2 linked regions of the Callithrix jacchus genome follow. The protein of the gene in region 1 interacts with the protein of each later gene in a pairwise test. Links are inferred from orthologs where the notes say so. Each region holds a gene or a part of one and is shown in the gene's direction. Other genes may lie near its edges.

Evidence for each region. The genes of interacting proteins can lie anywhere in the genome.
Region 2: the proteins of TOLLIP (region 1) and TOM1L1 interact in binary tests that used the Homo sapiens proteins (3 or more experiments, as listed by UniProt). The link is inferred for Callithrix jacchus from reciprocal best matches to the Homo sapiens genes TOLLIP and TOM1L1.

Annotation. Positions count from the first base shown.
Region 1 is NC_133511.1:130,589,500-130,597,975, forward strand, and holds the start of TOLLIP (toll-interacting protein), read left to right. Parts: upstream 1-4,102; 5' UTR 4,103-4,236; coding exon 4,237-4,269; intron 4,270-4,331; exon of another isoform or gene 4,332-4,522; intron 4,523-8,476. UniProt on the Homo sapiens protein: Component of the signaling pathway of IL-1 and Toll-like receptors. Inhibits cell activation by microbial products. Recruits IRAK1 to the IL-1 receptor complex. Inhibits IRAK1 phosphorylation and kinase activity.
Region 2 is NC_133506.1:111,246,898-111,254,069, reverse strand, and holds the end of TOM1L1 (TOM1-like protein 1), read left to right. Parts: intron 1-3,571; coding exon 3,572-3,633; intron 3,634-4,126; coding exon 4,127-4,282; coding exon of another isoform or gene 4,283-4,374; 3' UTR 4,375-4,958; downstream 4,959-7,172. Other genes in the region: COX11 (cytochrome c oxidase assembly protein COX11, mitochondrial), read right to left, coding at 5,737-5,919, 6,295-6,420. UniProt on the Homo sapiens protein: Probable adapter protein involved in signaling pathways. Interacts with the SH2 and SH3 domains of various signaling proteins when it is phosphorylated. May promote FYN activation, possibly by disrupting intramolecular SH3-dependent interactions.

The DNA of each region.
Region 1 (8,476 bases):
GTGGATTTCTGAATTCTATTCCAGTGGTCTGCATGTCTGTTTTTATATGAATGCGATGCTGTTTTGGTTATGACAGTCTTATAGTATGTTTTGAAGTTGGATAATACGATGCCTCCAGCTTTTTTCTTTCTGCTCAGGATTGCTTTGTCTATTTGGGCTCTTTTTTTTTTTTTTTGCTCCATAAAGATTTTAGGATTGTTTTTTCTATTGCTGTGAAGAACGATGTTGGTATTTTGATAGGCATTGCACTGAATCTGTAGATTGCTCTGGGCAGTACGGTCATTTTAACAACATTCATTTTTCAGTCTGAGAGCGTGGGACCGCTCTCCATTCGTCTGCATCATCCTCAGTCTTCTCCATCAGTGTTTTGTAGTTTTCCTTGTGGAAACCTTTCCACTGATTGGCTAAGTGTATCCCTATATATTTTATTTTTTTATAGCTGTTGTAAACGGAATTATCTTTTTGATTTCTTTGTCAGCTGGTTCATTGTTGGTGTCTGGAAGCACTACTGACTTTTGTATGTTGATTTTATATCATGGAACCTTCCTGAATTTATTTACCAGATCTAATGATTTTTTAGTGGAGTCTTTAGGTTTTTCTAAATGTAAGATTATATCATCTTCAGAGAGGGACAATTTGACGTATTCTTTTCCTCTTCTTTTTTTGCCTTTTATTTCTTTCTCTTGCTGATTGCTCTAGCCAGGACTTCAAGTATTACGTTGAATAGAAGTGGTGAAAGTAATTATCCATGTCTTGTTCCAGATCTTAGAGGGGAGGCTTTCAACTTTTCCCCATTTGGCATGATGTTAGCTGTGGGTTTGCCATACATGGTCCTTACTATGTTAAGATACATTCCTTCTATGCAATTTTATTGAGAGTTTTCATCATAAAGGGATGTTGAATTTTATTAAATGCTTTTTTTTCTGTATCCATTGAGATGATCATGTGATTTTTGTCCTGCATTCTGTTGATGTGATTTACATCTTGATTTACATATGTCGAACCATCCTTACATTCCTGGGATAAATCCCACTTGATCATGATGTATTATCTTTTTCATGTGCTGTTGGATTCAGTTTGCTAGTATTTCATTGAGAATTTTTGTGTCTTTGTTCACCAGGGACACTGGCCTTATAGCCTTATTTTTTCTTTACATCTTTGTCTGGTTTCGGTATCAGGGTGATGCTGGCCTCGTAGAATGGGTTAGGGAGAATTCCCTCCTCTTAATTTTCTGGGAATAGTTTCAGGAGAAGTGGCATTATTTTTTCCTTTGAACATTTGGTTGAATTTGGTAGTGAAGCCGTCTGGTCCTGGACTTTTCTTAATTGGGAGACTTGATATTATAGAGTCAATCCCATTTCTTATTGTTGGGCTGTTCAGGTTTTCTCTTTCTTCCTGATTCAATCTTGGCAGGTTATATGCACCCAGGAATTTATCCATTTTCTCTAGGTTTTCCAGTTTGTTAGTGTGTATACTTATTTGATGATTATGGTTTAAGTGTAAGTGTAATCATGCAATAATTACATTAAAAAAAGCAATAATACTGGGGTGGGAAGGAAGAGTTGGGATGAGGTTGTTATTATAAAGTAATTGCATGGCTCATCAAGCAGTATAGTTTTATTTGAAAGAGGACTTTTATGTTAGTTGTAAATGTATATTGTGAACTCTAGGGTAATAAAGATATCTGTGTTGGACGTGCTCCCAGGCGTGTCCCAGCTCTCTACTGCTTTTATCTGTTTAAAAAAGTTTGAAGTTAGTAGCCAATCACATTTTAGTTTAGATTGTGGAGTCTGGCTCCAACCAACAGAGATCAGACACAGCAGTAAGGACGACCCCCAGATGTGTGAGTATAAATTTACGTTTTCCTTTATTCATCATACTCTCGTGGCACGATGGCTGGCGAGGGTCCCCTTCCTGCAGTCCAGAAGGTAAAAATTGCGTTGCTGAAAGATTCTTTGTCTCAATGCTAATTTTTCTTCATGGCACAGAGCACTGGCTTCCAACAGTCAGGGTATGGATAGGAAGGATTTCTCTAGCGCTTCTCAGTAGCTTTGCATGCTGCTTCACACATCGCATGCAACATTCGTATTTCAAATCGCTCCCTATAGGCGTGATTTTTAGCATGAAAATGAGGAAGGGGTAACAATAGTTGAAGTGTAAGTCTAACTGCACATGTGGGGGCCTGGGGAAGTTCCTAGGCCCCTAGAGCAGGAACTTGGGGTTCACAGCTTCTTGGGTCTTGGGCTATGGATTAGCTGGAAGTTCAGCTGTCCAACTTGAGGCAGGGACTTTGTTCTTTTTCCCTAAACCACATCAAAACAGGCAGGCAGCCAGTCTGCCCCTTTCTTTTTTTTTTTTTTTTTTTTTGAGACGGAGTTTCGCTCTTGTTACCCAGGCTGGAGTGCAATGGCGCAATCTCGGCTCACCGCAACCTCCGCCCCCTGGGTTCAGGCAATTCTCCTGCCTCAGCCTCCTGAGTAGCTGGGATTACAGGCACGCGCCACCGTGCCCAGCTAACTTTTTGTAATTTTTAGTAGAGACGGGGTTTCACCATGTTGACCAGGATGGTCTCGATCTGTTGACCTCGTGATCCACCCGCCTCGGCCTCCCAAAGTGCTGGGATTACACGCTTGAGCCACCGCACCCGGCCCAGTCTGCCCCTTTCTAAAGGAGAGGCTGGTAAGCGAGACCTGAAGATGCGGCCTCTGAGATGAAAGTGAGAGAACATGTGTCCTGGACAGTGAGTGAAGCGTGGGTAGCAGGAATGACAATCCATTCTGGTCTGCTGCCTGGAGGACGAGACTGCGACTCGCCCACTAACAATTTAGAGACCCCTGATCCCCTTCCCAAGAGCTTTTAGCGGAGTTGGTTGTGTTACGGGAAAAGGGTACTGATCCAGACCCCAAAAGAGGGTTCTTGGACCTCGTGCAAGAAATAATTTGGGCCAGTCCACAGAGTAAAGTGAAAGCAAGTTTATTAAGGCAGCGAAGGAATCAAAGAATGGCTACTCCACAGACAGGCCGGGTGTTGGCAAACGCACGAGGAGGAAGGCGTCCACCTGGGTACGACCCTTGTTTATAGGTAAGAGAACAGCCAAAACATCACCGGGCTCGCGCTGCCTGACGCCTGTCCTGCCCAAGCATCTACATCATCCTCTTTAAGGCGAAACTTCAACTCAGGATGCTTTTTGTTCCTAAGAAAGCAGCACATCAGGACCCAAGTCCCGGGTCTGCTGGGTAAACCTTATTAACCTGTTCTGCTGACCATAAACGCCAGAGGCCGAGGGCAAGGCGGGCTTAAACTCGGGCTCTTCTGGCAGGGCCTCCATCCCGGTCCCGTTCACCTGGCAGCAGCACCTGCGCAGGTACCGCGCCCACCATTCGTGGCACTTGGCATCTCCCCGCTCCCCCCCACCCCCCCGCCTTATTTTTTGAGACGGAGTCTCGCTCTGTCGCCCAGGCTGGAGGGCAATGGCGCGATCTCGGCTCACTGCAACCTCCACCTCCTGGGTCCAAGCGATTCTCCTGCCTCAGCCTCCCGAGTAGCTGGGACTACGGGCGCGCGCCACCACGCCCGGCTAATTTTTGTATTTTTAGTAGAGACGTGGTTTCTCCATGTTGGCCAAGATGGTCTCGATCTTCTGACCTCGTGATCCGCCCGCCTCGGCCTCCCACAGTGCTGGGATTATTGGCGCGCGCGGCCGCGCCCGGCCTCTCTCTGGCACTTTTGACCAGAAAGGCCCTTCCTCGCGCAGGAAGCCGAGGCAAGGATCGCGCCGGAGGGGCTGTCGGGCCCCGAGCGGATCGCACGTCCGCAGCTCACCCCGCCCGAGGAGGAGCCAACGCACTGCCCAGACCGCAGCGCCGCCATGCTTGGGCCTGCGCCGACGGCTGTCATGACGGGGCATGCGCAGACGGCCGTGCCCGGAGCCATTGACCGGCCGGCTGGGCTCGGAGAGAAGCGGGTGCGCAGGCGCCGGGCGAGAGGCTGCGCTTGACCGCCCCTGGAGCGTGCGTGCGCGCGCGAGCCGGAAGGGGCGGTGCCTGGTGGCGCGGCGCCTGCGCAGTGGGGAGGGGCGCGGGGGAGGGGCGCGGCGGCTGTCAGCTGACTGTGGCGGCGGCGGCGGCGGCGGCCTCGAGGTGACAACCGTCCCCGTCGCAGGCTCCGGCGGGGGCGCAGGAGGTCGCCCGGCGCGTCATTGTCGGGTCGGCGAGGCCCAGGGCCGGCCGCAGCACCATGGCGACCACCGTCAGCACTCAGCGCGGGCCGGTGAGGCCGCAGGGCTAGGGTCGGGCGGGGGCGGCCACCTGCGGCGGGCGGGGCCTCGGGCCGGGGCTTCTGGTCAGCGACGGCGGGCAGGAGGGCTCCTTGGCTCCCCCAGGGCACGCGGGGCGCCCGGCCGGCCGGAGGGGAGCGGCGGCGTCGTCACTCGGGGCGGGGCGGGCCGGACGGATGCGCCCGCGCTGCGGGACGCTCGAACTCCCCGTCGCGCCCGGGCAGAGCGTTGGGGAGGCGGCCCCAGGTGAGGGGGCCTGCGCGCGGGGTGAGCCTCAGATGGAGGCGGCCCTGTGCCCCGTGGTTCCCCAGATGGAGGCGGCCCTGTGCCCCGTGGTTCCCCAGATGGAGGCGGCCCTGTGCCCCACGGTTCCCCAGATGGAGGCGGCCCTGTGCCCCGTGGTTCCCCAGATGGAGGCGGGCCCTGTGCCCCACGGTTCCCCAGATGGAGGCGGCCCTGTGCCCCGTGGTTCCCCAGATGGAGGCGGCCCTGTGCCCCGTGGTTCCCCAGATGGAGGCGGGCCCTGTGCCCCGTGGTTCCCCAGATGGAGGCGGCCCTGTGCCCCGTGGTCCCCCAGATGGAGGCGGCCCTGTGCCCCACGGTCCCCCAGATGGAGGCGGCCCTGTGCCCCACGGTCCCCAGATGGAGGCGGCCCTGTGCCCCACGGTCCCCCAGATGGAGGCGGCCCTGTGCCCCACGGTCCCCAGATGGAGGCGGCCCTGTGCCCCACGGTTCCCCAGATGGAGGCGGCCCTGTGCCCCACGGTTCCCCAGATGGAGGCGGCCCTGTGCCCCGTGGTTCCCCAGATGGAGGCGGCCCTGTGCCCCACGGTTCCCCAGGTGGAGGCGGCCCTGTGCCCCGTGGTTCCCCAGGTGGAGGCGGCCCTGTGCCCGATGGTTCCCCAGATGGAGGCGGCCCTTGCTCTAATGTCTCCCAAATGGTGGAGGGCCCCGCACCCTAATGGTCCCCCAGATGGAGGCGGCCCTGTGCCCCATGGTTCCCAGGCGGAGGCGGGCCCGCACCCTAATGGTCCCCCAGATGGGGGCAGCCCCTGCACCCTCATGGCCCCCGCGGTGGAGGTGGGCCTCCACTCTGGTTGGTCCCATGGATGGTGGCAGTTTCCTCCTTCCCCCTTACGCTACAGAGCAGTGGTGACCACTTCTTGGGCGCAGTTGTGTCCCCAGTTTCCCAGTTAGTGGCCGTGTAAAGCCTCAGTTTCTTCATTTGCAAATGAGAGGTTAGGTGCCAAGAATTCGTAAGAAACTTTCCTGCTCCTCATTCTCTCCTGAGGGTTGCCTGTCAGTTTCTATAGCATTCATATTGCAGGAGAGCTGCTGTAGATGGACTCAGAGACGATGGGCCCCTGGCGTGAGTGGGCTCCTGGCATGAGTGGGCTCCTGGTGTGAGTGGGTTCCCGGTGTGAGTGGGTTCCCGGTGTGAGTGGCCTCCTGGCGTGAGTGGGTTCCTGGCGTGAGTGGGCTCCTGGCGTGACTGCCTCCTGGCGTGAGTGCCTCCTGGCATGAGTGGGCTCCTGGTGTGAGTGCCTCCTGGTGTGAGTGCCTCCTGGCGTGAGTGGGCTCCTGGTGTGAGTGCCTCCTGGCATGAGTGGGCTTCTGGTGTGAGTGGGCTCCTGGTGTGACTGCCTCCTGGCATGAGTGGGCTCCTGGTGTGAGTGCCTCCTGGCGTGAGTGGGCTCTTGGCATGAGTGGGCTCCTGGTGTGAGTGCCTCCTGGCGTGAGTGGGCTCCTGGTGTGAGTGCCTCCTGGCGTGAGTGGGCTCCTCGTGTGAGTGCCTCCTAGCTCACTGTTAGGTTCTTTGTGCATTGCTGTAAAGAAATACCAGAGACTGGGTAATTTCCAAGATAGAAGTTTTAATCAGCTCTGAGTTCTGCAGACTACAGGTAGCATAGCGCAGGCATCTGCTCCTGGGGAGGCCTCTGGAAGCTTCCAGCCATGGCGGAAGATCAAGTGGGAGCCTGCGCGTCATATGGCGGAAGCAGTAAGAGAGTTGGGGGTGGGAGCTGCCACATACTTTTTAATGACCAGATCTCGTGAGAACTCACAGTCACCAGGACAGCACCGAGCCACAAGGGATCTGCCCCCGTGACCCACACCCCCCCCACCAGGCCCCGCCTCCAACACTGGGGATCACGATTCAGCGTGAGATTTGGCAGGACACAGATTTAAACTGTGTCACTCACTGAGGCTGGGCTGGGGCGGGCTGTTGGGAGCAGTCCAGTTTTTATCAACAGCGGCTCTAAACGTGCCATGGGTGGAAAAAGTCCTTTTCCACTATGCTGTAGGGTCCCTGCACTCATGCAGCCGGTACTGGACATGGTGGAGGGTTCCCCGGGCTCCCCACAAGTCCTGCTGTTTCTCCTAATGAGAGAATTCTTCAGGCAGAACATTTTTTCTGAGTTTAGAATGAAGCCCCAGGTTTTGGGCACAGAGGATTTTTCTGAGGACTTTGAAGGAAATCTCCTAACACACAGGAGACTCAGGTGTGGAGCCTGTGGGTCAGCAGAGGTCCCGGACGGCATCTCTGGCGTGAGTGAGCTCCGCTTCGTCCTCAGTGCACCACAGCGAGTGCCTGCAGGCTGCTCTGAGTGAGGTGCTCCTTTCTGCCTCACTACAGGCTCATAGCAACAAGGGAACCAGCACCCCCTTTGTGTCCTGGAGAGTGGGGGGCACAGTGGCTGGGCAGGATGGCCGCTTCCTTACTGTGTGGTCAGGGAGGCGTCCTCAGCCCCCTGGGAACTTGTCCTCGTCTGGAACTGCACTGGGGTGTGGGACTGAGTTTGAATTCAGCAGGGGCTGAGCACCACGGAGCAGCTGGGAGGCAGGCCCTTCCTGTTGTGAGGTGCCCGCGATGAGGAAGTGGGAGTGGCGGTGTTCATACACGCGGGGCCTGTGCCGACACATACCGAGGTGTCGTCAGACTCTCCTCTTGCCTGGTGCCTCCTGGGCTGTTTCTATCCTTTGTAGACAAGCAGGTCTTTCAGGGGCACCCCCGTTGACCTGTAAACACCCAGTGACATCAGGTGTGGCTCAAGCTGCCAGGGTCTCCAGGAAGGTGTTGTCAGCACTGGGGGTCCAAGTGCTGTTTGGAGTGCGTGTGACTTAATCAACCAGCATTACTGACTGGTGTTTAGGACAGCCACAAAGGGCAGCCACAGTACAGGGGACAGCCAGGTGGTTCCTGCCATTGGGATCTCACAGGGCAGTGCATAAGGACAGTGGAACCACATGATGGCAGCTGGCAGGTCTGTTGATCTTAACTCCAGGGTCAGGTGCTGGGAGAGTTTGTAAACAGTGGCCTCACTGGGGCTGGATGTTGGGGTGAGGATGTGACACCTCATCTGAGCTTGGAGGAGGAATGTGAGTCGGGGGTGGGCCGAGAGGGGACTGCACAGAAAGAAGTGTGGAGTCTGGAGGTGGAGAGGAGGGAGCCCAGGGGCTGAGGATGGAGGGAGGTGGAGAGGAGGGCGCTTCAGGGGCCGAGAATGGAGGGAGGCCGGGGCTGGTGGCGGCAGGAGGGTCTTGGGCACAGGAAGGCTGGACTTGGCCCTGAGTTCATCAGGTCAGTGCAGCACTCTCTGTGAAGTGTTGCCCGCACATGCCCACTGCAGGGCCTGCCTTGGCTCTGGCCTGCCTCACCAAACATGACCCATCCAGCCCCTCTGGATGAGCTCATGCTGGGCCTCCGGCCAGTTATTAGCATCTGGAGGAACTCCTGCTTTTGCAGGACGTATTGACACGACATTTATCGTGTCTTCTTCTTTATCTTAACTCGTGGCGCCGGGGAGGCAGGAGGTTTGCAGGGTGCTTGGCTTTCCAGCACAAAGAGGTGCTTCCCAGGGCCCAGGGCCCAGGGCAGGCTCTGGCTCAGGAGACCTTGACTGCAATCTACTCGCTGCCTCCACCTAGTGAAGGGGTGACAGCAAGGTCCCGTGGGTCGTGAAGGAGCAGAGGGGCTGCTCATGGGGGCCTGGGAGGGTTCTTTTGTCCTTGGGTAGAAGGAACTTCAGGGCCCAGCAGGTAGGTGTGGAGACGACCTATCGTTCTGAAAGAGTTCGTGCAGTGTTTGTATCTCCAGGATTGCGTTTCCCCGATAGCCACTGAGGGATGCTTCAGCCTGTGCAGCGTTTGCCTCACTTTTCAGAAATGCCAGTATTTTGGAAAGATAACCCTTTTTCAATAC
Region 2 (7,172 bases), on another chromosome or scaffold:
ACAGCTTTTAGGGGAAAAAGTGGTGATTACCCAAGTTGATTGTATTCCTATAATCTCTGGAGACCCTTCCTATCTGCTTCACAGCCCCACTGAACCCTCTACATCTCTTTGGCTGACATGTGTAGACATTTGATATTCTGGTCCCTGATTTAAGCCCTCAATGGTTTATGCACAAATGTTAATACTTTTCCATTATGTATTTTTTTCTACCTTATCACTGATCATATTAGTGGTTTAAGAAACCGGCACTAAACTAGGTGTGCTTTCTAAAAACTTGTTTTTATCTCCATCCAAATAGGTAGTGAAAAAGTTCTTGATTACACTCAAATTAAAAGATTGGTATATATAGATATGGCAGTGTCACAGATACTGGAGGTGGGAGAGACAGTAAACAGCTGGAGAGGTGAATCTTTGGAACTCTATCATTGTGATGGATCTTCCTTTTGGTGGTCAGAATGTCTCAGTTCTTTTGAAGTCCCATGAAATTCAGGGACTCCCTCCAAGGAAAAGCACAGGATCTTGCAGGAAATTTCTGTTTTTTTTCATATCACTGGTTGTCCATGAACCCCAGGTTGACAATTTTTCCTCTACCAGGACAAAGAGTATGTTTATGAAGATGCACAAGATTCATTTATTTCAATATTATGTGCCAGGGACTATTTTTAGACTAATTTATAATTTTAAACAAGAAACATGCTCCCTTGGCCTCATAGAGGTTAAATGTAGCATGGATACAGAAATTAGACAAATCACCAAATACATGTTTACAATTTGTTAGTGTTATGAAAGAACATGGCAAATTGAAAGTGCATAACAAAACTAACTTAAATGGGGATTAGAGAAAGCTTCAGGAAACATTAAAGCTGAGACCTGCAATTCTTAGTTAAAAGTCTGGAAATGAGTATTGTAGGTCCAGGGAACAACCAAGACCCAGAGGAAAGAGTTCTGGCACATTCAAGGAAACAGAAATGCCAAAGCCAAGAGTTAAAAAAGTTAACAGGGAGCTCAGAACCAGATGTGGAAAATGTATTTGGAGGCAAAGAGGAATGAGTACAACTGTGAAAGTCAGTGCTAAGGGCAGACAAGTAAGATGAGAATTGAAAACTAGACAACAGATTATGTAGAGATCACTGATGATTTCTGTAAAAGCTATTTGATGGATTGATGGGGACAGATGCCAAATTTCAGTGCATTTGAAAAGCACAGAAGAGATTAAGTAGAGACAGTTAAGTGCAGATACGAACTTAAATGTGAAACAATGATAAAATCAGGTTTGGGGTTGGGCACAGTGGCTCACACCTGTAATCCCAGCACTTTGGGAGGCTGAGGCGGGCAGAGTGCCTGAGGTCAGGAGTTCGAGACCAGTCTGGTCAGCATGGAGAAACCCTGTCTCTACCAAAAATGGTGCCTGTAATTCCAGCTACTCGGGAGGCAGACAGGAGAATTGCTTGAACCCAGGAGGTGCAAGTTGCAGTGAGCTGGGATCACACTGTTGCACTCCAGCTTGGGCAACAAGAGCAAAACTCCGTCTCAAAAAAAAGAAAAAAAGAAAAGAAAAAGAAAAAGGGGTTGGTAGCTAGAGGATACCAAGGCATTTGCTACAAGTAGAGGTAGAATTAAAGATCATACTTTGTATAAAATAGAAGATATGGGAGATGTTGGAGAATCTGTGAAAGTCGAGGAATAGGACCTGCCACAGAAGGAGAGGCTGAAGACTCAGGAAGGGGAGAATAACTGAATGGGTGAAGTGCTTAAGAAGCCTGGAGTAGATAGGATCACAGAAATAAAGGACAATACAAATGAAGAAACTTAAAGATTTAGTGATGGGAAGATGAGGAAGTTTTCATATCAAGACATTTAATGTATTAAGAATGAGGTTTCTACCAGAGAAGTCAGAGGTATGAGGAGAATGAAGAAGGCTGACATCGTTTTGAGGGAGATAAGAGACCAGACTTTTTAAGGAAACATTAAAATTGTAGGACCATTCTGGGGCCTTATGAACTTGGTGATTATGGTTTCATAGTGCTGTGATTTTTGAGGCTTTTCCTCAGCCATATTTTGCTATATTGTGTATATGAATGTTGTGGTTTCAGGTATAGATATTTTCCAGCTACAGATATATGTAAGATACATAAAAAGAATTGAATGAGTCAGGCATGGTGGCTCATGCCTCTAATCCCAATATTTTAAGAGGCTGAAGTGGGAGGATCATTTGAACCTAGGAGGCTGAAGCTGCAGTAGCCATGACTGCACCACTGCATTCCAGCCTGGGTGACAGAGTTCAAAAAAAGAATGAAGGATGTCATAAAAAAAAAATACAATATAAAGAAAAGCACAGAAATGAGAGTGATGAGCTATAGGTGGCTTGAGGCGCCTGTATTTTAATCACATAAGTTAAATAAGCTGGAAGATTATTATTATTATTATTATTATTTTAGACAAGAGTGTCATTCTGTAGCTCAGGCTAGAGTGCAGTGGCACGGTCTCAGCTCACTGCAATCTCCGCCTCCTAGGCTCAAGTGATCCTCCCACCTCAGCCTGGACTCAAGCAATCCACCCACCTCAGCCTCCCAGAGTGCTGGAATTATAGGTGTGAGCCACTGTACTTGGCGTAATTTTTTTTTAATGTTTGAAACCAGAAGAAATTGAAGAGTTTTTTAAGTAAAAATGTAAACTCCAAATTTGAGCCATATTTTTCATTTAAATCACAAGAAAAAATGAATTGGTTCTATAAAATACATACTTTTAATTGGCATAGGAGGCTGGGAGTGGTGGTTCACCCTTGTAACCCCAGCACTTTGCGAGACCGAGGCAGGCAGATCACCTGAGGTCAGGAGTTCAAGACCAGCCTGACCAACATGAAAAAAAACCCTTCTCTACTAAAAATACAAAATTAGCTGGGCATGGTGGCACATGCCTGTAATTCCAGCTATTCAGTAGGCTGAAGCAGAACTGCTTGAACCTAGGAGGCAGAGATGGCAGTGAGCCCAGATTGCACCACTGCACTCTAGCCTAGGCAACAAGCGCAAAACTCCATCTTAAAACTTAAAAAAAAAAAAAGGCACAGGAATTGCAATATTAAGGCCAGGCGCAATGGCTCACACCTGTAATCCTGGCCCTCCAAGGTGGGTGGATCACCTGAGGTCAGGGGTTCGAGACCAGACTGGCCAATATAGTGAAACCTCGTCTCTACTTAAAATACAAAAAAATTAGCTGGGCATGGTGGCATGTGCCTGTAATCCCAGCTAATTGGGAGGCTAAGGCAGGAGAATCATTTGAACCTGGGAGGCAGAGGTTGCAGTGAGACAAGAAAGCACCATTGTACTCCAGCCTGGACAACAAGAGTGAGACTCTGTCTCAAAAAATAAATAAATAAATAAAAAATAAGGGAAGTGTAACATTACAATTTAAGAAAACTAGAATATACAATTCAGGGCAGAGATTGTTTTTACTCATATGTAGCCTGAACTCCAAAACAGCTCAATTTTTAATTATGGTACTGGCAATTAAAAACCAAAATTGCACTTTGAAATGGATATATAATCCTTTTGCTGTGATGGCTTTGTTTCAGAGCTATTTATGAAGAAATTGACGCTCACCAGCACAAAGGAGCTCAGAATCATGTTGACTGAGGTAAAAACTTCAACTTACACAGCTTAATTCCATATTACAAATAATTTCAGTATAATTTTCACTTTACATGTTTAGTATTTATATTTTGTAAAGGCCATCTGAGTCTGACACTTTGAAATATGAGTTCCCCTGAATCACTCAAATTATGGGGAGCCATTATTCACTAATGAAATTCATTCTTTGTGCTTCTGTCATCTGTAAATAATAAGGCTTGGGAATGCATTAGTTACTTTATGGTATAGAAATATTAGTGCTAACAAAAATAGATGAACAAGTCAGGCACTTGTCTTTCATGTGCCATTAATATTTGTTAACTGGTACCAGTAGACCCATTTACTATTACTCCTCCAAATAGGTCTTGAGTTTTTCCTATTTTCAGCACTACTGATCCCATGTATTTACTATTTAACGGTCACCAATGAACTATTAAACTTATTTATTCCTCTTATCCCTCCCCTGTGGAAGAAGTACATTCTTACCTTTTTTCTGCTAGACTGTGGCTCTCCAGCCTCCCGCTAGAGACAAGTACAAGAGTTATCAAGAAATGGGGATAGAGAAGGACAGGATGAATACTGGACATTTTCTTCTCTATTCTAGAAGAAAGAGGACGATCACCTCACTAGCCACATCAAAGATGCCAACTCTCTAAAGAGTAGACTGTGCAGCTTTGAGGCCTGGACAATACCTACCTACCAACATGTCAGAGCCATGGTGGAACATTTCTGCTATAATGAAGCTTAAACAGAAGACTAACAGTTCCAGGATAACAGTGATTCCTGACAACAGCGTGAGATTTCAACAGAACTTGTTTGGAACAAATACTCAACTTAAAACTTTAGCAGAAAAAAAATTACTTAGTCCTTAGGCAACCAATTTAACTGCAGTGTCATATGTTTCACAGGCCTTCCTACATTTACAAATCATCACACAGCTGTGGATAAGAGATTATCTTACTATAAAATAATTCTGAATAGATGAAAGCATAAAATGTGAGAAACTGAATGTATTATTCTGGAAGCATAAATACTGAGTGCCTTCATTTAACTAAAGTTGAATGTAAAAGTCAATTTGCACTTCTTTATAAATAATCCTCTGGTTTAGAATTATAAATTGTTAAAGCCTTGATGATTGTCATTTAATTATATTTTAGGTGTCCTGAACAGGTCACTAGACTCTGCAATGGATGGGCTTTTTGATTCTTTGTAATGCTAAATAGTCTTTTCTCTCTTTTTACTATAACTTAACATTTCTATTTGGAACACAGACAACTGGAAAATATTCAGAATAAGTATTACATTTGATGAAAAATAAAATAATTTAATACATTTTTTTTTTTTTTACAAAGTTTGTTCCCGGAAGAACTTCTGATGTCAGTACATCACAATCCCACCTGTACATTTTAACATTCATGGACTTGTAATAATGATGGTAAAAGCTAGCAGCCTAGTAAATATACTTACTTTATTTCAATTTCATGATAGGACAATTTCAAAGTAATTATTCAGAATTCTGAATATAAAATAGCCCTAGATCTTAAAGGACAAAAAGTCAAATTTGAAATAAGAATTTAAATCTTTGGACAAGCTGTTAGGGCTTAGTGACTCCTACTTTGAGCTTTTAAAATATTGACTGTTCAAAATAGCAACCAACTCTTTTAGACATAATAATAAACATGGTCAGAAGTACTGGCCTATGACTTGAAACAAATAACCCTGAGCATATATTTTTGAAAACCTTCTCAGATTCATTGCTATAATTATGAAGAGTTAATAATCTAGAAGGGAACCATTAAGGCATGGACTTAAGCCGAACCATTAAGTCCATGCCTCCATATTTAAAAAACAAAGCGGTTTGTTTTAACACTTTCAAATTCTTCAGTATGGGATTGAATAGTCAGTCATACATTCTAGCTAGACATGTGGGTTTCTTATGATAAAAGCTAAACCTGTTCTCTCAATTTTAAGTGAAATAAATTAGTTGAGAAAAAAATAGCTATTTAAAATATAAGGCTTCAAATTATTGTACAATATTTCTCCTCTGAGAAGACAGGATACATTATTTTCCCAAAAACCACAACTTTGAAGGAAGACTTAGTTGCTGACTTCAATTATATCCCGGAACTGGCAACTGGTACCCTTCTTTTGCTTCAAAAAAAGTGTAAGAAAGAGTGATAACATCAACCTTAATCATTCTTGGATCTTCGGCAAATTCAGGATCAATGTAGAAAAACACTGGCATATCTACTTCCTCTTGGGGATTAAGCCTTTGTTCTTCAAAACAGAAGCACTAGAAGTTATAAGAAGATTTTGTTTAATAACATTTCTATTCTCATATTACATAACAGAAACTAATAGAGTTCACTTATCATTCCAGTACACTTCTTGACTTTAATAAGCATACTGTTAAATACAGAGTTCTGTGATAAAATAAGAGCATCTTTTCATCTCAATGAGTTCTGCTTTAAGGATCAAAAACAAATTCTAATCTTAGAAGCAGATATCCATTTGGTTTGGTTCTCAATCTCTGCATAGCAAGTATAGATAATGAAGAAAAATAGCTTGATGTTTAGAAGAAATTAGTTTTCAGAAACCACAAGATCTACTAAAACACTAAGTTTCATGTACCTTTATCATATTTTGTAAAGTTTACATTTTGTTGTACCTGTATTTTATTGAAATACTGTCCAGCTTCAAATGGAACAACATTGTATGTAGAAATTCCAATTACTGGTTTGTCAGTAGGATTCTTAGCTTTGTAAAATGCCAGTGCAGTCTCTCCTGGAACCACCTGTTTTAAAGGATATAAATTATCAATACTTTAAATCTCACACAGTCCCTCTTTTTCCTGCTAGATTAGTCTAATTATTTTGCCCATTTATCAGACCATAATACCTAATCTGATGCAGGGTTCAGCAAAATAAACTGAGTATTACCCACAAACATATCTGACTTTAAAACTTACTTGCATATGTCAATGAAGAACCAATGTTCTAATATCTATAGTTATGAATTGTCCTCTTATATATTTGAAGTCTTCAAGGAATAATCTGCAAATTACATTATTTAAAATGTGTCCAACCCAATCATATCACAGCCCAAGCCCAACCTTTCTGTAACACTTATACCTGAAAGTCACGATTGACTAGATTTTAAAAAAATCAACATTAAACTTACCTTAAAACCATAATAAAACTGACTGACTATAACCTTTATTATGCCAAACAAGTGTTAATACTTTATTTGGAGAAAATAAGAAGATAGCAAAGCTTAAAATTTCCAAAGGATATTCTGTCACTTGTACCAATTCAGCCACTAATACCTTGTATACCACCATGTAATTGGATAATATTCATAATCATAACCTATAAAATCTTTAATTATTAAAGAGATTGTCATGTTTACTAAACTGGGAAAGCACTAATATTTATAAGGCTTTTCCATTATGAGTTGAAATTAACTCCACTGGCTAATCGTCAGTTAATAAGGTATCAGTTAAAATCTTCCCAAGATTACAGTTGGTTAAAATTTTAGGAAAGCTTT